Cricetulus griseus: one gene and its partners. The protein of the gene in region 1 interacts with the protein of each later gene in a pairwise test. Links are inferred from orthologs where the notes say so. Each region holds a gene or a part of one and is shown in the gene's direction. Other genes may lie near its edges.

Region 1 (7,069 bases):
CCCCCCACTCCCCAGCAAAACCCACCCAAGCCTTAGCCTCTGGTCCTGCTGCCCACCTCCTGGCAGGAAGGTGGGAGCATTCATTCCCTCCAGAGATTGATGATAACCCGCCAAATAACATCCGTCCAGGAATGGATCTCTAAGCCCCAAAGTGAGGTCAGCCAGTGAACAGTTAGAAAAGCAATCATTTCTCACACTTGCTAATGGGTTTGACGCTTGTGAAACATAAACAGGAAGTGGAAGCTTGAGCGACCTGAAGGAAATGCACTCCCAGTTTGGTCAACATGTGAATCCCAGTTCTCCAGGTCGTCAGAATACTGCCAATTAAGGCTGACCCCCAAAACTGCACCCCGTCCCAGCAGTGACCCCATGCCCCGCCCCCCATTCCCCAGCCAGGTCACTTCGCAGCAGCAGGGTGACTGACCCCAAGCACGGTGGGGGAAGGTTAACAGTCATCTCTCAACTCTCCGAATTTGCAGGGCAGGGGAGCGCAGAGGTCAGTGAAATCCCCAGCCAGGCCTCATTTTAGTCATCAATTTCCACTGGCCCCTTGCTGCGTGTCAGCGTAGCTCACAGCGCCGCAGGTTCTGCGTTTCAGATGCTTTCCCAGCTCCGGGCTGTTAGAAGGTCAAAGAGACCAGACTTTTCCAAGGCAGGTGGGGGGCGGGGGGAGGAGCTAAGCGAGATCGCTGAGAGCTGGGGCTGCTGGAGCTACCCTTTGTGCCCCACGCAAGGCTCTGCGAGTTAACCTCTACTACCTAAACGTCTTGGTTAGTATTAAATTAAAACCTCATCTTTTGTTCTCTGCCGGTGACCCCGATAGACTTTCTGATGAAGGCTGTCTTCTGATTGGCCTCGTTCCCAAGGTCCCTGTAAATTCAAGGTCAAAATCCGCAGTTGATTCTCCACTGTCTCTAGCACGAAGTCTAACAATGGGAAAGGGGCTCAGTGAATGTGTGCTTCATAAATGTGGAGATTTCACTCTGATAGGCCAAGAGGTTTTTTAAATTTTTTTCCCCTTCTTTTCTCCTCCTGCCCTGGAATAGACCGCAAACAGCGCCACCCAAGTTCCTGGTTAGCAGCGGGATCCCCTGCAGGCTGGCAGCCCCTGTGCGCGGGGGTCACAGCTTGGATGCCGGTGCAGAGGCTTGCAGCGAGCGGAGCTACGACCCGCGTCCGGGCCACGTGAAGCGTCACGCCCCGCGCTGCTGCAGGGCAGGCGCCGTCGCCGCGGTTGTGTAACGCTGCAGCCGGAGGGGAGGCGACCCGGACGCCTCTGCTCCGGAGGGGGCAGAGGAGGGAGGGAACGCTGGGCACTGTGCCCGGTATCTTTCTGTGCTTGACTAGCCAGGGTGGGTGGGGGCAGTGAGGCACCCTGAAAGGCGGGAGGAGATGGGTGCGCGCCAGTCGGGTGCCGGGCCACCCGCAGGCTGCGCCCCGGAGCTGAGCTCCCGGGAGAGTGAGGGGCCGGCGCAGCTCACACGGTCCACGGTCAGGTGCGCGCGGCGTGCTCGGCGGCGGCCTCGGCTGCCCTAGCGCCTGGCCGCCTGCCCGCTTCCCATGGGGTGACATCCGCCCCGCCCTCGGTCCCTCCCCAAGGCGGGCAATTCCTGGACACTGGGGTGAGCGCTGGGGAGGGGGGGGGGCTGGGAAGCGGGGACGGAAAGAAACCCCAGCCTCTGGGGAAGGCCAAGAGGGGGGCGACGACTCCCTCCGCTGCGCACCGGTTCCTAGGAGCGGGCCAGGCGGGGGAGGAGGAAGAGGGCTGGGCTGGAGCGACCGAGGGGATATTCCTCTCCCGGCTTGAGTCAGACGCGGGCGGATCCGTCCTCCCCCGTTCCCTCCCAGGAGACGGGAACTTACTTCATTTCCCTGGGGCAGGTTCGCCCACGTTACCAACCCCCCTCCCCCCCAGTTCCTTCCAGCTTCCGTGCCCCCCACCCAGCTGGGCAGGACTCGGGCTGCGCTGCCACCCCCTCTTTCGGGGAAAGGAGGCCGCAGCCGCAGACACCTGGGGCCCGAGGTTGGGGTGGGGGGGGGCACTTCGCAGCCGCCAGAGCGTTGTCCAACACGTGAGACTCATGTGATGAAGCCGGGGGAGGGCGGGCAGGTCGCTCCTTCCCTCCCCGGCAGCGGCCAGACGTGCTTGGAGTCACAGGGTAGAACACGTAGCTTCTACCCACCCACTCGCTCCCATTTAACCCAGCCCGCAGCCTCTCCTTACTCCTCGGCTCTTCCCCTCCAACAACTCCCCCCCCCCGCTCCGCCCTAAGCAACCTCCCTTCCCTCCCGCCTCCCCGCCCGCCCCACTTCTCATTCACTTGGCTCGCAAGGCGCAGACAGCGCAGCGAGCACACACCGCCAGTCTGTGCGCAGAGCGGGAGCCAGAAGCCGCGGGGACACCCGGCCATGCACGCCCCCAACTAAGCGACGCCTCAAAGCCGCGGCTCCTGGCAGCCCAGCTCATTGCAAGGGAGCTCAGGCTAGCTCAGAGGAACATACCCCTTGAGACCCTCGGATCCTCCCTTCCAGGGCAGTCCTCCCTCGGACGCTCTGCTAAGTGCAGACAGGAGCGCGCAGTGGCCCCGGCTCGCCGCATCATGGAGCGGATCCCCAGCGCGCAACCACCTCCTACCTGCCTGCCTAAAGCGCCAGGACTGGAGCACGGAGACCTGTCAGGGTAAGTGTGCACTGTGACCCCATCAAGTCTCCGCTCCTAGCTATGTATTCTGCGCCTCTCTCAACTTGGGGCACCTCTGGGAACACGGGGATTCTTGCATCAGTAGGGCTCCTGCAGCCAGTGCACACTCGGGAGTCACGGCTCTTTCTGTCCCCTTTCCCTACAGGATGGATTTTGCCCACATGTACCAAGTGTACAAGTCCAGAAGGGGGATAAAACGGAGCGAAGACAGCAAGGTAGGTGCATCCTCTGGGGACCCCTTCCCTAGTCCCTCGCGTGCGCTGAGTTTCCAAGAAAAGTTTGCTTGCCTGGAGGTTGGCTTGGGGGTTCAAGATGTGGTGAGCTCATTGTCACACCTGAGTGACTTGGGAAAGAAGGGACAGAAAAGGTGATTCTGGGTGCGTCTCTGATCTGCGCCCTTGCAGGATTTTTTCCCTGCTGCCGGGAGGGGAGGAAGGGAGGCTTCGCTTTCCCTTTCCCAGGCACCCATCATTCCACGTACTCCTTGCAGGAAACTTACAAATTGCCGCATCGGCTGATTGAGAAAAAGAGACGTGACCGGATTAACGAGTGCATTGCCCAGCTGAAAGATCTTCTACCCGAACACCTCAAACTTACAGTAAGTGAGAAGCTGGCCTTGCTCCAACCCAGCTCTTCTGCCCAGAGGGCGGGTGGGGGTCACTCGCCGCCTGCAGGCGTCACGAGGAACTGCAGGCTAGACGGGCGGATCAAAGCTCCGGGTAGTTCTGGGTTGGAGGGAACCCATCCCTAGTCCCAGGACTTCCAGGCAAAGGCAGAACCATCACTCTCTGAGGCCTCTTTAAGTTGGTTCCAACACTAGCATAGCTCCCTTTTGGTAATTTCCATCGCCTTGTAGTTCTGACTTAAAGGCTCACTCGCACACACAAACACAAATTAAGCCCTTTTCCTTTTCCATCTTCCATCCCGTGTGTGTGTGTGTGTGTGTGTGTGTGTGTGTGTGTGTGTGTGTTTCTTTCCGTCATATCCTTTACTAGTAGCCAAAAGCTTTCTAGCTATTCCTTCGTGAAAAGTATTTGGAAGGGAAGATGAAAAGCCTTCATGAGCTGAAGTTCTAAAAGGCTGTCAGGGAAACACACACACACACACACACACACACACACACACACACACGGGAGGGGAGGGAAAGCCGAGCTGAAGTTCTAAAAGGGTGTCAGGGAAACACACACACACACACACACACACACACACACACACACACACACACACACACACGGGAGGGGAGGGAAAGCCTCCTGGTTGCCAGACACAGTAGATGTTCCTCACTGGGTTGACACCACAGCAGAGAAATGCTATCTCTGGAGTCCCCTGAGTTAAGGTCAGGGCAGCTGCTGGAGAAATCTATCTGTCAGCTCACTCCTGAGACTGTAACAGCTACCAAAAGGCCTCCAAAGATAGATGACACATGTTTTTTTGTTTGTTTGTTTTTAATCCTTTGGTCATCTATGTGTATATGTTAAAACATCTGCAAACTTTAAACTTAGTAAAGCGGGAAAGGCCCTTCCTGTCTTTGCTGTTGTTTACACCCAGTTCTCATCACAAATAAGTGTCTGTGGGGACTTCTCCGACTTCACAGGTGACAGAAGCTCTTTGTTTTTTTCCTCCAGACTTTGGGCCACTTGGAGAAAGCAGTGGTTCTGGAGCTCACCTTGAAGCATGTGAAAGCATTGACAAATCTAATTGATCAGCAGCAGCAAAAAATCATTGCCCTGCAGAGCGGTCTGCAAGCTGGTGAGTGTTGGGTCTGATAGTATCTTCTGAGTGCTCCCTCTTTAGAGCCCTGGGCTCACTGTGCTTCTGACCCTCCTGTCACCATTCACTTTCGCACATCCACTAGAAGAGATGCTTTTCTGTTTCCTAAAAGGTCATACTTTCCATTCAGAATGCTGCTGTGTGCCACCTGGAATGAATACATATTAGTCCAGTGATGAAATGTGACATTTTGGCCTGAGAGTGTCTAGGATCTGGGAGACTTCCCCATTCTCCTTTAAAATGCCAAGACTCCTGTAATTTGCATTGTGGGTGATTTACAGTTGATCTGAGCCGTCGGTCATGGGTGAACAGAACAAGGGTCTGCCCCTAGTGTTTTCCTGTTTCTTTGTTTCCTTGTCTTTGGATATAGGGTGCAGTCTTGGCAGGATGACAGTAGTTTTTTTTTTTTTTTTTTTTTTTTTTTTTCTCCCCTGTATTTCATTGTGGTTCCCTGAATAGCCACTAGGTATCTTGTCGAATTGCACAATCTAGTGAAACCACTGGTTTCATCATTCATTTCTACGGAGTTTCAGAGACTCAGAGACACCGTCTGACCTTCTTTCTCTCCCTTCCAGATCATACAGTACAGGCCAGGGGGAATCCTTTACAAGTACCCCTCAGGCATTCTTCTCTGTCCTGGCCAAGGCCAATATGAGAATCACAAAAACCAAGCCAGTATGTCTGCCAGTTTTCTTTCTAAAAATAGAAAGTTGATCAGAACTGATCTCTAGGGGAGTCATGGATACAGTATATGGAAAAGACTTAAAGAGCCCAGTCAAAGTTCATAGGGGAAATGCAACTGTTGTTTAATAGGCTAGGTTTTTGTGTGTACGAAAGTTGTTTTTTTTGGGGGGGGGGTTGTTGTCATCATTCTGTTTTGTTCTTGTTTTGAGACAAGGTCTCAATATGTGTAGTCCTGGCTTTCCAAAAACACAGAAGCAATCCTTCAGACTCAACCTCCCAAATGGTGGTGGGATTGCAGGTGTGAGCTACATTTTTACAGCATGGTGATGCATGCCTGTAGTCCTATCACTTGAGAGGCAGAGACAGAGCCCAATAAGTTCAAGGCCAGCCTCTTTTGTATATCAAATTCCAAGCCAACTAAGGCTAATTAGGGAGACCCTGTCTTTAAAAGGTGTGGGTACCGGTTGGGGGCAGGGGTCTTTTTTTGGGGGGGGGGTTCGAGACAGAGTTTCTCTGTGTAGCTTTGGAGCCTATCCTGGCACTCGCTCTGGAGACAAGGCTGGCCTCGAACTCACAGAGATCCACCTGCCTCTGCCTCCGGAGTGCTGGGATTAAGGTGTGCGCCACCAACACCCGGCTTGGGGCAGGGGTCTTTAGGTGGTCTCTATACTATTTATGACCATCCAGCCTTCTGCTTTCGTCAGACTGTTGCTATACTGAGTGGGGGTGGGGGTGGTAGCTTTTGTAGTCCCAGTACTCTGAAAGTTGAAGTTAGGCTCAACATGAGTTCAAGGCCAGTCTGGGTTGCAGAGTAAACCCAACATCAATCCAGGCTACAATGAGACTGCCTCATTTTTTTTTTTTAAGGTATGATTGTTGAACTTTATTTAGCATGTTCATTTTTTTTGTGTGTCACAAGAAAAACTGCAGATACTAAGAGTAGAAGTAATTTGTTCTATTACTATACAGTCATTAAAAATTACTATTTGGGACAGTGGAATGTACATAGCCTAGTGATATACCACTATACTTAGTATCAAAGCCCAAGCATAAAAGAAAAAAAATCTGTCTCTTAAGTGGTAGGAAAATACTGATTTCATTTTTTATACTTTTCAGCATAATTCTATAGACACTACTTTTGGAGTTGGGAATGCGAATGGATAGGTTTTCTTGTTCGTTTGTTTGTTTTTAACAAAAAGGAAACCTCTGGTGTACCAAACACCCTTCTAAAACCCTTCTTTCTGGGTCTTTCTCCCCAGGTGAGCTGTCAGGAAGAAATATTGAAGCAGGACAAGAAATGTTCTGCTCAGGGTTCCAGACGTGTGCCCGGGAAGTGCTTCAGTACCTGGCCAAGCATGAGAACACTCGGGACCTGAAGTCTTCTCAGCTTGTCACTCATCTCCACCGTGTTGTCTCCGAGCTGCTGCAGGGTGGAACTTCCAGGAAACCATCGGACTCGGCTCCCAAAGCCATGGACTTCAAAGAGAAACCCAGCTTCCTGGCCAAGGGATCGGAAGGGCCTGGGAAAAACTGTGTGCCAGTCATCCAGCGGACTTTTGCCCCTTCCGGTGGGGAGCAGAGTGGCAGTGACACGGACACAGACAGTGGCTATGGTGGCGAATTGGAGAAGGGTGACCTGCGCAGTGAGCAGTCATACTTCAAAAGTGATCACGGTCGCAGGTTCACCATGGGTGAACGAGTCAGCACAATTAAGCAAGAATCGGAAGAGCCCCCCACCAAAAAGAGCCGAATGCAGCTCTCAGAGGAGGAAGGCCCCTTCACTGGCAGTGACCTGATGGGTTCCCCGTTTCTGGGCCCCCACCCACATCAGCCTCCCTTTTGCCTGCCCTTCTATCTCATCCCACCATCGGCAACTGCCTACCTGCCTATGCTGGAGAAATGCTGGTACCCCAC
Region 2 (5,559 bases), on another chromosome or scaffold:
GAGTGCTGGGATTAAAGGCATGCACCACCAACGCCCTGCTAAAAATGACCCTTTTGATAATTCTGAGCTTTGCTTCCTGTGTGCCAAGTTGTTTTTGGCCTCGTGCTGAGCACATTTGCTCAGATCAGCAAACTCCCTCTGGGTGTTTCTAAGTTCCTTGTTTTCATTTTACTGTATCTGTCTGGTAATTCCTATGATCTTGTGAACTTTTTAATGTTTAGCAAACATTTTTTTGTTGTCTTGAGACAAGGTCTCACTTTGTAGCTCTGGTTGGCCTGAAATTTCGCTCTGTAGACCAGGCTGAGAACTCACAGAGATCTGCCTGCCTCTGCCTCCCGAGTGCTTGGACTAAAGGTGTGCATTCCACCTCCATCGCTGTTTAATGGAGTGACTACAAGGGTCTGGTCTTAGAAAATGTTTCTATTGATTCTTTGACAACTTATGAGGCTGACAGGTGAGAAGTAGGTGATTAGTTGGAAAGGCTGCTTGATAGTCACACCTGAGCATCTCCCTTCACGGTAGATGTCCTCATCCTGCCACCCCCACACCGCCACATCCCACTCCCACCCCCACTGGCAGTCAGACTCCCTGCCCCAGGGCTCATCAGTGCTCAGCTGGTCTTACCCTGTCTTTCTTTCCACTCTCGTCTCTGTGGAGACAGAAGGAGCTTCAGGAGCAGGGAGAGATCAGGATCATCCAGCTGGGCTTTGACTTGGATGCCCATGGAATTGTCTTCACTGAAGACTACAGGACCAGAGTATGTGCATGGGTGCGTGTGCGTGAGAGAGAGACTGCCTGTGTGTGAGAGAGTGCTGGGCAGGGGAGGGCAGGGAGGTTGGGCATAGAGACAACAGAAGGAGCATGATCCATAGCACACATCTCATAAACAGGGCCCAGAGCTCTGGTAAATAGCGAGATGGGGGGGAGGGAGGGAGGAAAGGAGGGAGGGAGGGGGGAGGGAGGGGGGAGGGAGGAGGGTGGGTATGGGGCAGGCGAGAAGCGGGGAGCAGGGAAACAGGTTTGCAAAGTGGAAGGACCCAAGGGAGAGAGGACTCAGAAGAGAATGCTGTCCTGGGAATGGAGAACCACAGTGGAGGGTGGGGTCATGCTGTTCACAGACATCAACTCTGCTTCCAGGTCCTTAAGGCCTGTGATGGCCGACCATGTGCTGGGGTGGTGCAGAAGTTCCTGGCCTCCGTGCTCCCAGCCTGTGGGGATCTTAGTTTCCAGCAGGACCAGATGACCCAGACTTACGGCTTCAGGGACCCGGAGATCACGTGAGGCATTGTGGGGTCAATAGGTCAGGCCTCTGGCAGCCCTTTCTTTCTCAGTGAGCTTGTCTTTTTTTGGTTGGTGACGTGAACCCCACCCTGTAAGATAACAGGCCATGGAAGAGCTTGGACTAGGAATCAGGAGGGAGAGAGGCTGGCCAGATACAGAGGCCTAGCGGGAGCCATGCCTAACGGTACTTTGATAACACAATGGTGAGGCTGCAGTGTCCCTAGAGATCACACTCACAGGGTCCCCTACAAAGAGCAGGGGAAAATACTAGCCAGTGCAGGAGTTTGGGGTGCCTAAGTCTGGCCTCCTGTTTTCTAACTCCCTGGTGTATGAGAGGATCTCCCTGGGAAGTGGCAGGGGCTGAGTGGGGGGAGGTCATGGTTATGGTGGGCCCTGAGGTGACCCTCACTCCTCAGGCACATTCCAGGCTGTGGGCAGGGAAGCCTCTTAAGGAAACAGTCACCGCAATGACTGGGGAGCTGGCTGGCTTGGTGATGTGCCTGCTGCTCGAGCACAAGGATCAAGTGAGTCCTGGTCCCCAGTAACCACAGACTGAGTGCAGCAGGTGTCTGTGACCCCCCTGCTGAAAGGGCAAAGGCAAGTGGATCCCTATAGCAAAGTGTAGTCAAACCAGTGAGCCCCAGGTTCAGTGAGAGACCCTAGCTCAAAAAACAAGGTCAAACCAGGCATGGTGGTGCACACCTCTAATTCAGCATTTAGTGGGCAGAGGCAGGTAAATCTCTGAGTTTAATGCCAGCCTGATCAGCATAGTGAGTTCCAGGATGGCAAGGGCTACATAGAGAGACCCTGTCACAAAAAAAGAAAACAAAAAACAAAAAAAAAAGGAGGAGGAATGGGATTGGAGAGATGACTCAATGGTTAAGAGCACTGGCTGCTCTTCCAGAGGACCTGGAGTTTGATTCACAGCACCCACAAAATGGCTCACAACTATCTGTAACTCCAATCTCAGGGGATCCAATACCCTCTTCTGGCCTCCACAGACCATGCATGTGGTGTACAGACATACATGTAGTCAAAACACCTATAACATGCAATAAAAAGGTTGAGAGTGATTGCACATATGTGATGTATACCTGTGGCCTCTGTGATTGTGTGTCTGCACACACACACACCCACACACCACACACACCACACTCACCACACACACTCACACACACACACCATACACACCACACTCATCACACACAAACTCACCACACACACACACACCATACACACATACACACCACACACACCACACTCACCACACACACGCACCACACACACACACGCACACACACACACACACACACACACACCACACCACACACACACCATACACACATACACACCACACACACCACACACACACTCACCACACACACACTCACCACACACACACACGCACCACACACACACACACACCATACACACATACACACCACACACACACTCACCACACACACACACACCATACACACATACACACCACACACACCACACTCACCACACACCACACTCAACCACACACACACCATACACACATACACATACACACCACACATATACACACACACACACACACTCACCACACACACCGAGGTTACAGGGAAAAAAGTGCGAGGATGCTCAGGCAGGGATGGTGGAGCCAGTAAGGTCATTGGTTTCTGCCTTGGTTGCCTGTGTTGCTGGACACTTAGTGTCCAAACATCAGCAGTTTTGGGGGGCGGGATGCAGTTCTCAGAGCTCTGGCTGCATCGTCCTGGCCTCCCACCACCTGCAGGCACCTGGTGAACGCTGGAGTCCTCACTGTCCGAGATGCTGGGAGCTGGTGGCTGGCCGTGCCTGGAGCTGGGAGATTCATCAAGTTCTTTGTCAAAGGTGTGGTGCCTACAGGAACGTCCTTTGGGCAGCTTTAGGTCTCCACACCCAGCTCACCTCTTCCTTTTCCTGGGCCACATCTCCAGGGCGCCAGGCTCTACTCAGCATGCTGCGGAGGGCCAAGTACAGGGAGCTTCTCCTGTCAGAGCTCCTGGGGCGAAGGTCCCCGTCGGCAGTGAGGCTCGGCCTTGCCTACCACGTGCATGACCTCATTGGAGCCCAGCTGGTGGACTGGTGAGTCCAGCCCTGAATCTCAGGAAAATGCCATGACCCAAGGTTGGGCGTCCCCCAGGTCACGCTTCATTCCCTGGTGAAGCCCACTTCCTCTCCTCTTTTCTGGGGCTCGGGAGCACCCTGTGCTCAGTTCTAGGCGGCTGGCTCCAGCCTCATCTCTCTCTGACAGTGTGCCCACCAGCTCTGGAACCCTCCTTCGCCTGCCAGATACGTGAGGAGTCGACTCCTGGACTCTTCAGCTCACAGAGTGAGGTTCCTGGAAGCGCTGCCCCTGGACGGCTGAGCGGGTCACCGGGATGGGTGCCAGGCCCTGCTGCTGCAAGCTGGGGCTCCAGCCTGAGCTGCGCTGTGTGCGCTGCAGCTCTGGGCTTCTGTGGGTGTGAAGCCAGGAGCCGTGCCGAGGGGATAGGAAGGTGGGATTGATCGCTGGGGTTGCTGTCGGAGGGAGCAGGGAACTCTGCCCTCTGTGTCAGGTTGAAATTGCCAAATAAAATACTTGTGTCTATGCAGTCTTCTCGGTGTCCTTTGTTTAGAGTGATATGTGTGCAGGTGTCTGTGGCTACTTCAGAGTGAGAACAAGGTTACTCAGGCCATTTTCCCCATGGGGGTGAGGGTGTGCCCATCTTCTGAACCACAGGCTTTCTGTTAGAGCCTGTACCAAGCAGAAGACTGCAGTTGAGTCTGTCTGGAATGTAAGAGGCAAGGGTCTCTGAAGCCATTCCTGTTAGGAACTTCAACTGCCCTGTCCATGTGCCATGTTGGAGCTGTAGGAACGCACACACGGGCGAGCACATGTGCGCACGCACGCACACATACACACACACACACACACACACACACACACGCACACACGCACACACGCACACACGCACACACGCACACACGCACGCACAGACACACAGAGTTAAGGGAGGTGCCTGGTACTGGGGATAAACAAGCACAAAGATTCATTTTGGGGCCAAGATTTCTTCAGAGACCCTGGTGTTGGGCCGCTTCCCCAGCACTGGGCCTAGGGCCAGTTGCGTTTCTTGGCCATCACGTGGTTTCCCGGCTCATCTGGGTGAGGGAGGAGCAAGGTCCAGAGTCAAACTGCCCCAACCCTAGGGTGACCAGAAGGGAGCAGACGTCAGACCAGACAGGTCTGACCTCCGCTGGACCCTGCAGCCATGCGGCTCCTCTGGGGGCTGCTCTGGATGTTCAGTGTCTTTGCCTTGTCCCTGCAGAAGCCCAGGTCCTGGGGCAAGACACTGGGCTTGGGTGGGGCGGGGTGAGGGAGAGGGGTGGTGGGGTGAGGCTGGGTCTGAAGCACCTTCACTGTCCTCCCAGGCTGCTCCTGTTCTCCCCCTCAGTGGTTAATTTGGGGGTCCCTCTGTCAGTGGGGCTGCAGCTCCAGGATGCCCCTCCAGAACAGCAAGTAAAAGGATCCGTGCTCCTGAGAAACCCAAACGGCGGCCCTTGCTCCCCAAAGACGGATTTTACCCTCAGCTCAGGAAATGATTTTGTACTTCTCAACCTCAAGGTAACCAGCGCCCACACCCCTGCTGCGTCTCAGGCCTTCCTGTTGCACCCCATTGCCTGTTTAGTTACAGACAGGAGCTTCCTATGCAATAGGCTGGCTTTGAACTCATGGCAATCCTCCTGCCTCAGCCTCCTGAGTGCTGAGATTTACCTGGTTCCTCCGTTGCCTTTATGTTTACTTTTGGTTTTGAAAGAGGGCTTCATGGAATAATCTAGGTTGCCTGTAAATGCTCAGCAGCCTTCCTCTGGCCTCAAAGTGTTGGGGTTACTGCCATGCGCCATCATGGCTGGCCTTTCTGTTGCTTCTCAAGCCCTATCTTTCTGACTTCCTCCTCTCTTCCAGGGTCTTGGTGTCCCTATCTTGGGCTCTGTCCCTTTCTTCTTAGGCAGCCTCTCCTGCATCTCCTGACAGGTTCCACTGGAAAATGTGAGGGACTGTGGTCTCTTTAACCTGCGCAGAGCCCCCCATGTCCAGCTGGTGGTTCAGTCTCCGTGGCTGAAGAATGTAATGTCCAAAGCCACAGACACTCAAGGAGTCAACCTGCTGTTCTCTGCTCGCCGTGGACACATCTTTGTGCAGACTGACCAGCCAATTTATAACCCTGGCCAGCGGGGTGAGCCCCTGGCCCCAGGGCCTCTGCTTTG
Region 3 (6,581 bases), on another chromosome or scaffold:
TCTTAGCAAATGAAGTTAATTATCTTTTATTGAGTACATTTTGGTTTGTTCCAGTAGCCGGATCGAGCTGGGGGATGTGACACCACACAATATTAAACAGTTGAAGAGATTGAACCAGGTCATCTTTCCAGTCAGCTATAATGATAAATTCTACAAGGATGTGCTAGAGGTTGGCGAGCTAGCAAAACTTGGTACGTTTTTTTCTCCTTTTCAAAATTTGTATTCTTAAACTGTATTTGTTAATATTAGAGCAAATAATACAGGCTCCTTATTTTATAAGCAAGTTGGAATGTTACAGAGTTTTGAGAAAGATCAACATTGAATATTTGACTTTAGAAGCAAATACTAAATGTCCTTTTTTAAAAAAGTCTGGGCAGCCAGTCGGCAGTGGCACATGCCTTTAATCCCAGCAGTTGGAGGGCAGAGGCCAGCCTGGTTTACAGAGCAAAAGTGCCAGGACAGGCTTCAAAAGCTACACAGAGAAACCCTCCAATAAAAAGAAAAAAAAAGTGGGGGGTGGTGGTATGTGTGTGTACCGGCACACACACAATACAGTGACCACATAGGGACATTAGAGAACAACTTAAGGGGGTTGGTTCTAGCCTTCCACCATTGTAAGTTCCAACAGTTGAACTTAGGTTTCCAGACTTGGTGGCAAGAACCTTATCTACTGAGCTATCTCCCTGGCTCCTAGATGTTTTCTGTTATTTACTGTGAGCCTGTGTGTTTATCACTAATTTCACTATTACTGAGAAAACTTAATCTTCCTCGGAAGATGTAAGTCTTGAGGGCATTGATATTCTCAGAAGAGTAGCTAGTTAAAATCTAATGCCTATAACAACTTTTGTTTTTAAAAGGAGCCGATTAAATAAAATGTTGACATTTACATCTTTGTTTTTTCTTTGGTAGCATATTTCAATGATATAGCTGTAGGTGCAGTGTGCTGCAGAGTGGATCATTCACAGAATCAAAAGAGACTTTACATCATGACACTAGGATGCCTTGCACCTTACCGAAGACTAGGAATAGGTAAAAATTATGTGTTTTGTTCTGTTGTTTAAAGAAAACTTGGGAAGCCAGGAGTTGGTGGAGCATGCCTTTAAAGAGGGATCTTTGAGTGTGATGACATCCAGAGCTAAACAGAGAAATCCTGTCCCAAAAAAGAAAATAAGAAAAGAAACTGGGAAGGGAATACTGAATTTTGAAAAGTAAAATGAAAACTATTGCTTAGTGTTCATTTGGAAGTCCCATAAATTTGTTCACATCAGCCTGGAATTATTTGCAATAAAAAGTCATCACTGGGCCATGGTGGCACATGCCTTTAATTCCAGCACTTGGGAGGCAGAGGCAGGCAGATCTGAGTGAGTTCCAGGACAGCCAGGTCTGTTATACAGAGAAACTTTAACACAGTGAGAACAAAAATTGGGGAAATAATGGGTGTCTAGTTATCATTCTAATTCTATGTCAGTACCTAGTAAAGATGGCAAGTAGATGGCAAATTTCAAGGTTGATTTGTAAAGTTATTTGTTGTTTGTCTTATTAATAGGAACTAAAATGCTAAATCATGTCCTAAACATCTGTGAGAAAGATGGCACTTTTGACAACATCTATCTGTAAGTACCTAATGTTCATCTAAGTGTCTGATAAATTATCTCTCTAAATCCCAATCAGAAACATTGAGATCTGTCCACTCTCTGTACATTTGATTGAAAACAGCATGAAGGTATGCTTGTCCCTTGATATCCATAGAGATATAAAAGGGAGATTATAGAGCGCTCATTTGATGAGAGCATTGGCTGTTCTTCCAGAGAACCCCAGATGGTGTCTCAAAAACATTTGTATAACTCCAATTCCAGGGGACCCTGCACCCTCCTAAGTGGTACACAGGTATATTTGCAGATGGAAATGTCCATGCCCATAAAATAATTTTTAGAAAAAAAATTGAGTGCATTTATTTAAGATGTCACAAATTCATATAAAAGTGCGTACTATTTACAGATGACCTATTCCTATCCTCCCATTCTTTAAAGTGACGTAATTTACTTAGGATACCTAGAAAAAAGAAAATGATACAGAAGTTTTTAGACAACTTTATATTTCAGGATTTATTGAATTGTGGTTGGAAATTGTGGGTGATGAGTATTCTTGTTATATTTGGTTTTAGTTATATATAAGGTACCTAAAATGAAACCAAGATTGCAATCTAGGTATTCAGAAGTTTGAAATCATTAATACCAGTAATAGTTGATATATTTTATTCAAGGTTATCAGTAACTTGCTCATTTGTAATAGTTTAATAATCAAAGTTAGAGATAACCTAGTTGAGATTATACTTGAGTCTCAGAAGGCTTCAGTATGAAGAGCCAAGACAGCTTGGCATGGTGGCTCATGTCTTTAATCCTAGCACTTGCACTCAGGTGGCAGAGGCAGGTGGATTACTGTGAGTTTTAGGCCAGCCAGAGAGAGACCCTGTTTCAAAATCAACTAACAAACATAAAGAGCTAAGATAAAAATCACAACAACAGATTGTTTCATATTCATATTGGGGGAGATTAAATTATGCAGTGTCATTCTGGAGCGTAATGAAAGAAGCTCAAGAAGATATATTTAGGCAATTGAGACTGAAATGTATTTTTGCTGTTGTTTTTAGTGTCTATCTTTTCTGGGAGGGGCATGTGCACGAGGTTACAGGTATCTAAGGAGGCTAGAGACGTCAGCAATCTCGAGCTGAAGTTACAGGTGGTTGTGAGCTGCCTGGTGGCAGTGTTGGGTCAGACAGAACTCTGATCCTCTGGTAGACTGAGCCTCATCTCATGATAGTTTAACCTTTGTTATATATAAAAATAGGCACTGATCCTCCTAATCTCAGCCTTCTGCCTTGCAAGTGGGGGAATTAGGTTAAAACTGTAAAATTGTTGTCAGGTTTACTGATAACGAATTGACTAACCTTTGTTAAATATTGGTCATTATAAAGAAAGTGTACAAAATGTAATAGTCTACCTCTGACCAATTTGAAGCTATGTGTGGTTAAGAGTTGAAAGTTGATGAAACTGTCTTATATATGTATCTATGTCTCAGGCATGTCCAGATCAGCAATGAGTCAGCGATTGACTTCTACAGGAAGTTTGGCTTTGAGATTATTGAGACGAAGAAGAACTACTATAAGAGGATAGAGCCTGCAGATGCTCATGTGCTTCAGAAAAACCTCAAAGTCCCATCTGGTCAGAATGCAGAGACACAAAAGACAGACAACTGAACAAATTACAAAAGAACTTTCTTGCACTTGCTTGTCGCCAAATAAAAGAAAGACCCATTGATTCCCCTCCCCCTTTCTTCAGCTTTTCTCCCTTGATATTCCTCCTTTCTTTCCTCTTAAAGTTTGTAATACTTTCAAGGACTCTTAAAAATGATCATGTTTGGATTGTTTCAGTTCTCTTATTTTTGTGAGGTGGTTGGGTTGAAGGAAAGAGAAAATAGGTCTGTATAGTTTCACAGTTAAGATGTCCTCTCAAATTGGGTATCAGATGATTTCAATTTTTTTTAACATCCTGCTTTCACATTGAAGGGCAGAGCCTACAATATTGTTTATTTCAAAAAAAGCCACAGCAATATCTTATTCTCTAATTCATAGACAAGCTTAGTGTATTTGTGGTACTTTGAGTTTTAAAGACTATCTGTGGGATGTTAATCCCTGACATTGCCTTCACTCTACCTTTAGTCCTTTGAGTACTCTCAGGAGTTGGACCATTGTTATCCTTGTGAGAAAATACTAAGCTGATTTAGGGTTTTAAAGCAGTTTTTCTCTATTTGCTGATTGCTGGGGCTGTTTGTGTAGTTAGTATTAGACTTTGATCAAAGTATTTCAGTTAAACTGCTATTTAGCTGATGAGTGGGTTGCTTGTTGGCAGGTGTTTTTTTGTTTTGTTTTTGGTGTTTGTTTTGGTTTGGGGTTTTTTTTTTTTTTTTCTTCCTGCTGTTAATCTTGTTGCTAGAGGCATTAACTTGTAGAGTATGAGCTGGTGAAATTAACTGTTTTAATATCCCAGCTAGAGATACGGCCTTTAACTGACCTAAAGAAGATTGTTACAATTGATTTTTTTCTCTTGTTTTTCAGTAAGCCCAATAATAGTGTAACCTTAAATGGAGTTATATCCTTATAAGCCAATACCCCTAAATAAACCCGAAGCAAGTGTTTTCTCTTGGACATATAAAATTACATATAAAGCTTAGATGGACTTGTAACACATTAAGTGTTACCTAATGTCAACTAATACAGATTGTTAGAACTGTGGTCATTGAGTGTTTGATAATATATGAAAGAATTTCTAGACAGTATTTTTGAAAATAACATTGTTATGCTATTGCTTATCTGTTGGAGAACATCCCAGATTTGCTTACACTCTGTGCCTACAATGTTGAGTTTAAAGAGTTGGAATAAGAGGAATTGACAAATTCCTTCTATTCTTGGAACAATAGAAGTATGAAGTGTTAATACAAATATCACTGTGACCTCCAGTTGACAGGTTTGGTTAAGGCCAGATCATTTACAGGCACATTGGTAGTGGCTCTGATGGGTTGAGAACTATAATGTGGAGACATGTGAGATACTCATATTTTCCTCACATAGCCTCATCTCAAAATACATGGCATTTCTTAGATTGTCAGTAGTCATCAGTGGCTCGAGAAATGTTCTTACTAGACTTTAAAACAGAACATAGTATGTTTTCTCTCATTTGACTTTAAAAGGAAGTTTAATATATCTTCTTTGGAAAATTGTGGTATGAAAGTCTTATTTCCAAATAGGTTAAAAAAATGCTTATGCACACTTTATAACTCTTAAGTTTTTTGCTTGTTTTGTTTTGTTTTGAGAATGTGAAAGTACATTAAGTGGACTTCAGTAGTCTTGAGTGCCAAGAAAATACAGACAAGGGGTGTGATTGATGGATGGACGGACGGATGGATGGATGAATAGGGTAGTGAAATTGTAGAAATACCATGCTTGTTTCTTGGGTATCAGTTTTCTAGACAGTCCAAATCTAAGCTCAAAAGAAAAGTTTAGTGTTAAGCACCTTTATTTCCATGGATAAGCTTCAGCTTACTCTTGCCAAGAGAAGAAGGCATAAATGATAGAGTGGAATTAGTTTGAAGAAGTCAGCCATTTTGTAAACTTCCAGATAGCAAATAGATTTTGATATATAAAAAGTTTTCTGAGATGACACTGCCTCTATTTCTATAACCATTTCACTTGGACTATTTGAGTAGTCCTATGAATGTATCCCTAAATGTGTTTATTGAAACCGAATAGCTGCCTCACAACAATTAAGTACATGTTATTTAAAGAGGAGGAACAAATAATAAAGTTTGAATTGAGTGTGTAGGCTCCCTATTATTATTTCCTTTTTCACACTAGTCGGTGATTTAACCTAAATTTTAATTGTATGTAAAGGGTCAATTGTCCTGTATCAAAGTTGCATTAAATAATTCCATCCACTTACATAAGGGGAAGATGTGAAAGAGGTAGAAACTGGGGCTAGTCCATATGCCTGTGAGTCAAGAAATGCTAAAGTAACACCCCATGTTAAGTTTGTGATTTTTGGTTTGGGTTTGTTTGTTTTGGATTCTTTTGTTTTGTTTTGTTTGTTTTTCGAGACAGGGTTTCTCTGTGTAGCTTTGGAGCCTATCCTGGCACTCGGCTCTGGAGACCAGGCTGGCCTCAAACTCACAGAGACCCACCTGCCTCTGCCTCCCAGGTGCTGGGATTAAAGGCAGGCGGTACCAATGCCTGGCTCTTTGTTTTTAATATATGATAAAAAGAAAAATAGCCTTTGAGGTAAAGCAGTAATTCTGTTAACTGGAAATCTCCATCATTTTTCAGGACAGATAATTTTTACTGTGGGGTAAATAGGTTAAAATTATTATGTATGCTATTTGAATTTAAGTTCTAAAGTAATCTGTAGAGAAATCTATGCAATATATAATTTGTCAAGATTAATTTTCATCTGGGGAAAGGAGTTTCTAAGTGTCTCCAAAGCAGGTCACTCATTAATTGAAAGTCCTCCAAAAAGAGAACTATTGGGAAGCATGGTGTGTGGTGGTGGAAAAGAAAAACTCCCTCAGTTTTTGGAGGGAATATCTTTAAGATACTTAAGTGGCTGCGTTTACTTGGTGCAGTTAAGAATTAAACTTGTCAATTTTAAAGTTGCTGTTACATCTGAAATAAACTTACGTGATGTTCTGGTAGTGATCTGTCTGTAAATGTCATGAAACTCATTGTTGTGCTGAGTTTTACAGTCTGCAACTGTAAGTCGTTGTGTACTGTGACCCATACTGTTTTCTATTTCTTTAAGACCTAATTTAAAACTTACTAAAATAGTTCAGGTATACTTAGGGCTTAGCTAATTCAGACCTTGATAAAAACTGTCCAACAGGTGGGCAGCAGGCAACGTAGCCAGACCAGCTCCATCCCACAGAAGCCCCAGACCAACAAGTCTGCCTATAACAACTGCAGTTGTGGGGGTGGGGGTGCAGCTGAGGACCTGACTCTCTTCTGGTCCCATTTTCTGAGAGGCCCTCTCACCCTG
Region 4 (5,875 bases), on another chromosome or scaffold:
GACTGCTGTTCCTCTCCCAGATTGGAGTCAAATGGAACACTTGTTAGCATTCGGCACCGAGCGCCTAGATGGGACTTCATGGTGTAGGCACCTACAGAGTCCCAGAACGAGCTGTCACAGTCTTAACAATAGACACCTGGCTACATATAACTTTGAGTCTGTTGACCATTTTTAATTCTTTTTCATTTTACATACTAACCCCAGTCCCTCCTCCTCCCCCCTCAAGGCCTTACCCCTCTTTCAACCATTTTTGATGAACTTCTGTGGCCAGTATTCTGCTACCTCTATCCCTAGTGACACATGCTCTTATCTGTTTCCTTGTAGACACTGTCTTGCCTTAGATTTGGGCTAATGATTGTCCCAAATTTTAGTTCTTCACTGAGTGTAAAGTTAGGCCTACTCTTGTTTTTAACAAGGCAATAGTTTTTAGGGTAAAGCAGGATCCAGCTTAGCTAGACTTTGCAGAAAGTAAGCATTTGATGAAACTTTCCTTTTGAGTAGCATCTTCTGGCCAGCCAGTTCCTTGTTGTCTTTTCTTTTTCCCCATTTTCTGAGGCACCCAGAGTTTCCAGGTACTCATCCAGAAATCACTCATTCCATCATGGGTGCTGGTGGAACTCAACTAATTAATGTTGTTCTATTTATTTTACAACGTAATAGTAAGACCTTGAAAACAAAAAAAAAATCTATCTTTGAATGTTTTATCTTTGACTAATTCAATTGTAAAAATAACACATTCTAGTCTTTTCCATCCCATAAAATCACCCCCCAACGTTTCGGTGCATAGTTCTGTAAGAGTTTATCTTTGTAAGAATTTATTGCCATGCAGAAAGAATATTAACATAAATGAATATTTGGAATATGCAGTAAAAATATCAACTGCATATTTGTTTGCATTTTTTTTCCATTTTTCAAAAATGAAGAGTGGGCTCCTTTTCTAGGGACTACTTCCCAAGAATCAGTGAGTACCTACAGCCTCAGCTAGTGCTCCATGCTGTTTTTCATGGACACAGTAAAGAATCAGCAGCAATAACACATGGACTAAAATAGTTACACCAATATACCATAATAATGAAAATTATCTAGTGGCCTCCATAATGTGTTTTCTGCACTGTGTTCACACTTCTTGCATGCAAAGCTCCGGGGCTGAGACCAAGTGGGATAGGATAAGTGGTGTGGGTGTTGTGTATGTAGCAGTGACACCGCAGCCCACCCGACAGTACCTGACACGCGCGACATCCTTCTACCAAGACAAGCTACTAAGTGATTAGCAGGCAGGTATTTGTTTACCGCTGGACAAAGGGCTGATCCATGTTACAGACAAGACAGAGCAAGCTGGCCACAATCTTATCCCACTATTCAGAACCATGCATAGGATAAAACCTATTATTTCTGTTTTCCTCTGTTTAATTGTTACTTTCTTGACCATAGTCCAAAACTGAAGCCAATGTCCTAGTTTAATAAAAAAAAAAAATTGAAATGCATCACATATAACTAAACCATATATGGTCTGAACCCATATGGGCTAGTGACAAAGAAATAGTGTAGATATTTTCTCATCCTTCCCTTAAATGTTAGCTTTCCACTCTGCATGATTTTAAATAGTGACTTTTTTTTTTTTAAATCAAGCTCCACATGAATGCATAAGAATTTTGACAGGATTACTTGAATATCTTGAATAGTTCTTGAAAAGTGATGTTAGTATTAATGATATTTGTAGATACTATCTCGGTTTTTGTAAGAAATTGGTCAGTTCATACAGAAACAAGAAGAAATGCCAGTGAATTCTGAAAAGAGGAGAGGCGACTGTGGTGATGATTAGTGAGTAAAGTGCTTCCTATGCGGCTATGAGGACTTGATCCCCAGCCCCCGTGTAAGAAGCTGAGCATAGCGGCGTATGCCTGTAACCACAGCACTGGGGAGTAGACACAGGCAGGTTTCCAGTGCTTCACTAGCAAGCCAGTCTAACTGAAACAAGTCTCAGGTTCAGTGAGAGACTCTGTCTCAAAAACAATATGGAGAAATGGTTGAAGAAGCCAGTATGTCAACATTCAGCTTCCATGTGCACCTGCATGGGTGACTGATCACACACACACACACACACACACACACACACACACACACACACACACACACACACACACACACACACACAGGGACAGGGGTATGGCTTTAAATATCAAATGAGCATTATTACTAAGAAATCAATTAAAAAATGTTTCTGATATAATTCAAATTTTACTAACAAATCAAATACCATCAAAGTCAGAGTGTGCTAATTTCTTTAATAAAAGGAAGATACAGTTGTATAAACTGATGACATGACCACGCCATGGTTATGGGGAAGGAAGTTTTTTATCATAGGTCTGAGAGAACAGCGGAGGCATATGGATGTCTAGAGCAGACAGAGAAAGTGGTAAACTGAACATGGCAAACTGACTGGACCTGGCCACAAGAGAAGCAGGAGCCAAGCACAGGAGTTGGGGAGGGGGGGCATAGCGAGAAAGAGAGGGGGAGAAGGAGGCCAGGAGGAAGGCAAAGAGAGTGGGAACCTTGAAAATTGCAGTATTACAGAGAATGAGTAACTGGGGGAGGGGAGAACCCATGAGCTATGGAAGTTAGGTTTCGGGAGGAGGTAAGAAGAGCTAGAGTGGACTTAGAAGTGTGTAATAAGTACGTGAAATACTGAGGAAGCCTAGAGGCCAGCTTGCTATGCTAATGGGCACCACGGACAGCCATTTGTCCCTTCTGTCTTTTGGAATTCGGGGAAATGGAGTTTCCTTTGGACCTCACAATAGTAAGATAGAAAAAAAAGCTTAGGAATAGTTGATTTTTTTTTTATGTTTTTGTCATACTAGAATTTTTCAAATACATTTGAGGCTTTCATTACATCTCACACTGCTTGTCCATTTCTCTTTGAGGGCTGGTTTCATGTGCCTCCCTGCTACCCTGACCTGAACCCTCACCCTCATGTCCTTCTCTGAGTCCCTGCTACTTGACTGGCTGCTTCTCAGCATTCTGCTGGTGTGTGTTCTGGGTAGCCCTATCTTCTGTATGCATCACAGAGTGTTGCCAAGCTTCTAAACGTGAGAAGACTGTTTTTGTGTAATTTTAGAGCATTCTGTAACAATTCCTCTTGGTTGTCATATTAGATGAAAAGCAAAGATTTGGTTATGAGCGGTCTGGATATGATCCTGAAGAATCTGATGGCCCTGACGAGGACGACAATGACAATGAAGAGGATGATGAGGACAGCCAGGCAGAGTCTGGCCTCTCAGCAGCACCCTCAGTCACAGCCAGCCCACAACATCTTCCATCCAGAAGTGGCCTTCAAGACCCTGGGAGTGTAGAGGAGGACCTTAGAGTTCCCAGTTGCTTCTCAGGGGTACACACAGACCCTATGGACATTCTACCTAGAGCATTACTCACCAAGATGACTGTTCTGAGCACAGTACAGCTTGACCCCAACAGGACAGACTTACCAACAAAGGCCAGGCACCATACTGCAAAAGAGGAACATGAGATAGTTCCTCATGTAGACACTCCCAGGTCCCCAGATGTTACCCCCAGGTCTCCCGGCCATCAGATGTCTGTGGATTACCCCGGATCTGATGTTCTGAGAAGCCCCACAGCTGCACAGACTGTTGCTTCAATACAGGTAGATGAGTGGTGGTGGTGGTTTTGTTTTATTTTGTTTTGTTTTCGTTTTCTCCTCTTATTCCATTAGGAAAACCTAATAGATTAAAATTTTAATTCATTTATGAGCATATGAGTATGTATCTTTTTGTTGTTATAGTCAATGACAGAATTCATTTATGTCTGTTAAAGCCTTGTTAATTATCTTGACAAAAATCCACATACTGTATTATAGCCTATGGTGCCTCTTTAAAAAATACTCCTTTATTATTTTCTGTTTTCAAAAATCACAATAAAATACGTATGTACCAATGTAAACTCACATCCTGAGACTTGAGGATCACGTGGTTGACTCGTTTTTCCACTAGCGTGGATATGGTTGGTTACAGCATGTTATCCAAATTCTGTGCTTTGTTTGCTCCTGTCAAGAAAATAGCTACTAGGCTTCATGACAAAATTAACCTGACACAAAAATGATTCAAGAATTCATGTTGTTTGGATGAGCAAACAGCTGGGAGAGCTTGGGAAGGTTTCCTTCCAGGAGGAAGCTCAGGGCCGGACACACAGCTCCCGGTGGAAGACACACAGCAAGTGCACTGCATGTTTTTCCATGGCTGCCTCCTAACCAACAAATAGTTGTCTCTCCCTGACAGTTCTCTTCCCTCTCCTAGGTGTGAAAGAAGGCAACAGGGCTTATTTCTTAATGGGACAAGATGCTTCTTCCCACTATTATAATGTTACATACTAGCCTCAACTAATTGAATGTCAATTTAATATAGAGATTGAATTATAATGTGAACTAATGCAGCTCCCTAAAACACACACACACACACACACACACACACACACACACACACACAAATGCATGTATATATTGTCAAGAAAGGGGCAGTATTTAGATGAGATTAAATTCACCGGTGGAAGGGAGGGTAGGCAAGATTCATCCCTCCCTAAACACTGTGTTCTAACTGCTGTATCTCAGCATCTCTCACATAACTACCAGTACCTAAAAATTCAGTCTTCAGTAGACATTTTATCAACTTACGAGTCAGTGAGCAAATAAATGAACAACTGCAGACCTTTGTCTTCATAACAGCTCTTCATTTCATGAATGAATAATTTTTCGGTTAATTTTTTTCCCAGTTGAGTTGATGCTCACAGCCAACTAATATGGCAATTTCTCAACATTTCCTAGTCTCTAAAATAAAGTGGTGATGTTACCATGCCAGAAAAATGGCATCAACATAAAAATATAACCATGCTCATCTATTATTATAAACTGATGATACCCAGGAAGCTGGTTTGCAGATTACAAAGTGCCTTATAAAATATTTTTCTGGTATTGTAGTAGGAAAGAAATTAAAAATGAAGGTTTCTTTGTTGTTGTTGAAACTTTTAGCAAGCCAACACATGTAAAATAGAAACATACACTCTTAACTCATTGAAAAGAACAGACTGCACACTAGTACTTAGTCATGATGAAGGAGGCTCTGTTACCAAGGCTCATTGTCTCTTGTCTTTTAGGACTCATCATCTGTAAGACTGCCTCCTGTTGTAGCCCAGCTCAACCCTCAGCCAGCAGCCAGGATTCGTTCCTCAGCCTCACCTCACTCTGACAGTCAAGAACCGAAGCAGCAAATAACCTTGCAGCCTTCCCCCGGCTTACCTTCCCCTCAGACACATCTGTTCAGCCACCTACCCTTGCACTCCCAGCAGCAATCAAGGACCCCCTACAACATGGTTCCCGTTGGCGGTATCCATGTGGTGCCTGCCGCCTTCACATACTCCACTTTTGTACCCATTCAGGCCGGACCAATGCAACTTACCATCCCCGCTGTGAGTGTTATTCACAGAACCACGGGTACCCCTGGGGATACCATCACCCAGGTTTCTGGCACTACCAATCGCCCCACCGGAGTGGCTGAAGTGAGCAGTGTTGTGCCATGTATCCCCATCGGCCAAATCCACGTGCCAGGCCTGCAGAACCTGAGTTCCCCAGCCCTGCAGTCGCTCACATCCCTGGGTATGGAAACCGTCAACATCGTGGGCCTGGCCAAGGCCACCGTGGGCCCGCAGGTGCACCCCCCAGGCCTGGCCCTCAACGCAGTGGGGCTGCAGGTTCTGGCTAATGCGTCTGCACAGAGCAGCCCCGCCCCGCAGGCGCACATTCCAGGTCTCCAGATCCTCAACATCGCCTTGCCCACCCTGATCCCCTCGGTTGGCCCCGGCCCGGTGGCCG

Evidence for each region. The genes of interacting proteins can lie anywhere in the genome.
Region 2: the proteins of Bhlhe40 (region 1) and Stk19 interact in a two-hybrid assay, tested with the Homo sapiens proteins (2 studies listed by BioGRID). The two-hybrid records come from large-scale screens. The link is inferred for Cricetulus griseus from reciprocal best matches to the Homo sapiens genes BHLHE40 and WHR1.
Region 3: the proteins of Bhlhe40 (region 1) and Naa50 interact in binary tests that used the Homo sapiens proteins (3 or more experiments, as listed by UniProt). The two-hybrid records come from large-scale screens. The link is inferred for Cricetulus griseus from reciprocal best matches to the Homo sapiens genes BHLHE40 and NAA50.
Region 4: the proteins of Bhlhe40 (region 1) and Hivep1 interact in a two-hybrid assay, tested with the Homo sapiens proteins (2 studies listed by BioGRID and IntAct). The link is inferred for Cricetulus griseus from reciprocal best matches to the Homo sapiens genes BHLHE40 and HIVEP1.

The regions. Positions count from the first base shown.
Region 1 is NC_048601.1:35,825,435-35,832,503, reverse strand, and holds the start of Bhlhe40 (class E basic helix-loop-helix protein 40), read left to right. Parts: upstream 1-2,277; 5' UTR 2,278-2,600; coding exon 2,601-2,680; intron 2,681-2,846; coding exon 2,847-2,916; intron 2,917-3,191; coding exon 3,192-3,299; intron 3,300-4,326; coding exon 4,327-4,450; intron 4,451-6,414; coding exon 6,415-7,069. UniProt on the Homo sapiens protein: Transcriptional repressor involved in the regulation of the circadian rhythm by negatively regulating the activity of the clock genes and clock-controlled genes.
Region 2 is NW_023276806.1:231,370,745-231,376,303, reverse strand, and holds the end of Stk19 (serine/threonine-protein kinase 19), read left to right. Parts: intron 1-661; coding exon 662-757; intron 758-1,137; coding exon 1,138-1,277; intron 1,278-3,064; coding exon 3,065-3,162; intron 3,163-3,248; coding exon 3,249-3,396; intron 3,397-3,565; coding exon 3,566-3,611; 3' UTR 3,612-3,905; downstream 3,906-5,559. Other genes in the region: C4a (complement C4-A), read left to right, coding at 4,563-4,627, 4,723-4,915, 5,327-5,528. UniProt on the Homo sapiens protein: DNA-binding protein which is required for efficient transcription-coupled nucleotide excision repair (TC-NER). Acts as part of a TC-NER complex which assembles and interacts with RNA polymerase II (RNAPII) when it stalls at DNA lesions.
Region 3 is NC_048597.1:46,253,637-46,260,217, reverse strand, and holds the end of Naa50 (N-alpha-acetyltransferase 50), read left to right. Parts: intron 1-54; coding exon 55-191; intron 192-909; coding exon 910-1,029; intron 1,030-1,546; coding exon 1,547-1,613; intron 1,614-3,078; coding exon 3,079-3,256; 3' UTR 3,257-6,240; downstream 6,241-6,581. UniProt on the Homo sapiens protein: N-alpha-acetyltransferase that acetylates the N-terminus of proteins that retain their initiating methionine. Has a broad substrate specificity: able to acetylate the initiator methionine of most peptides, except for those with a proline in second position.
Region 4 is NC_048596.1:261,844,300-261,850,174, forward strand, and holds part of Hivep1 (zinc finger protein 40), read left to right. Parts: intron 1-3,152; coding exon 3,153-3,658; intron 3,659-5,160; coding exon 5,161-5,875.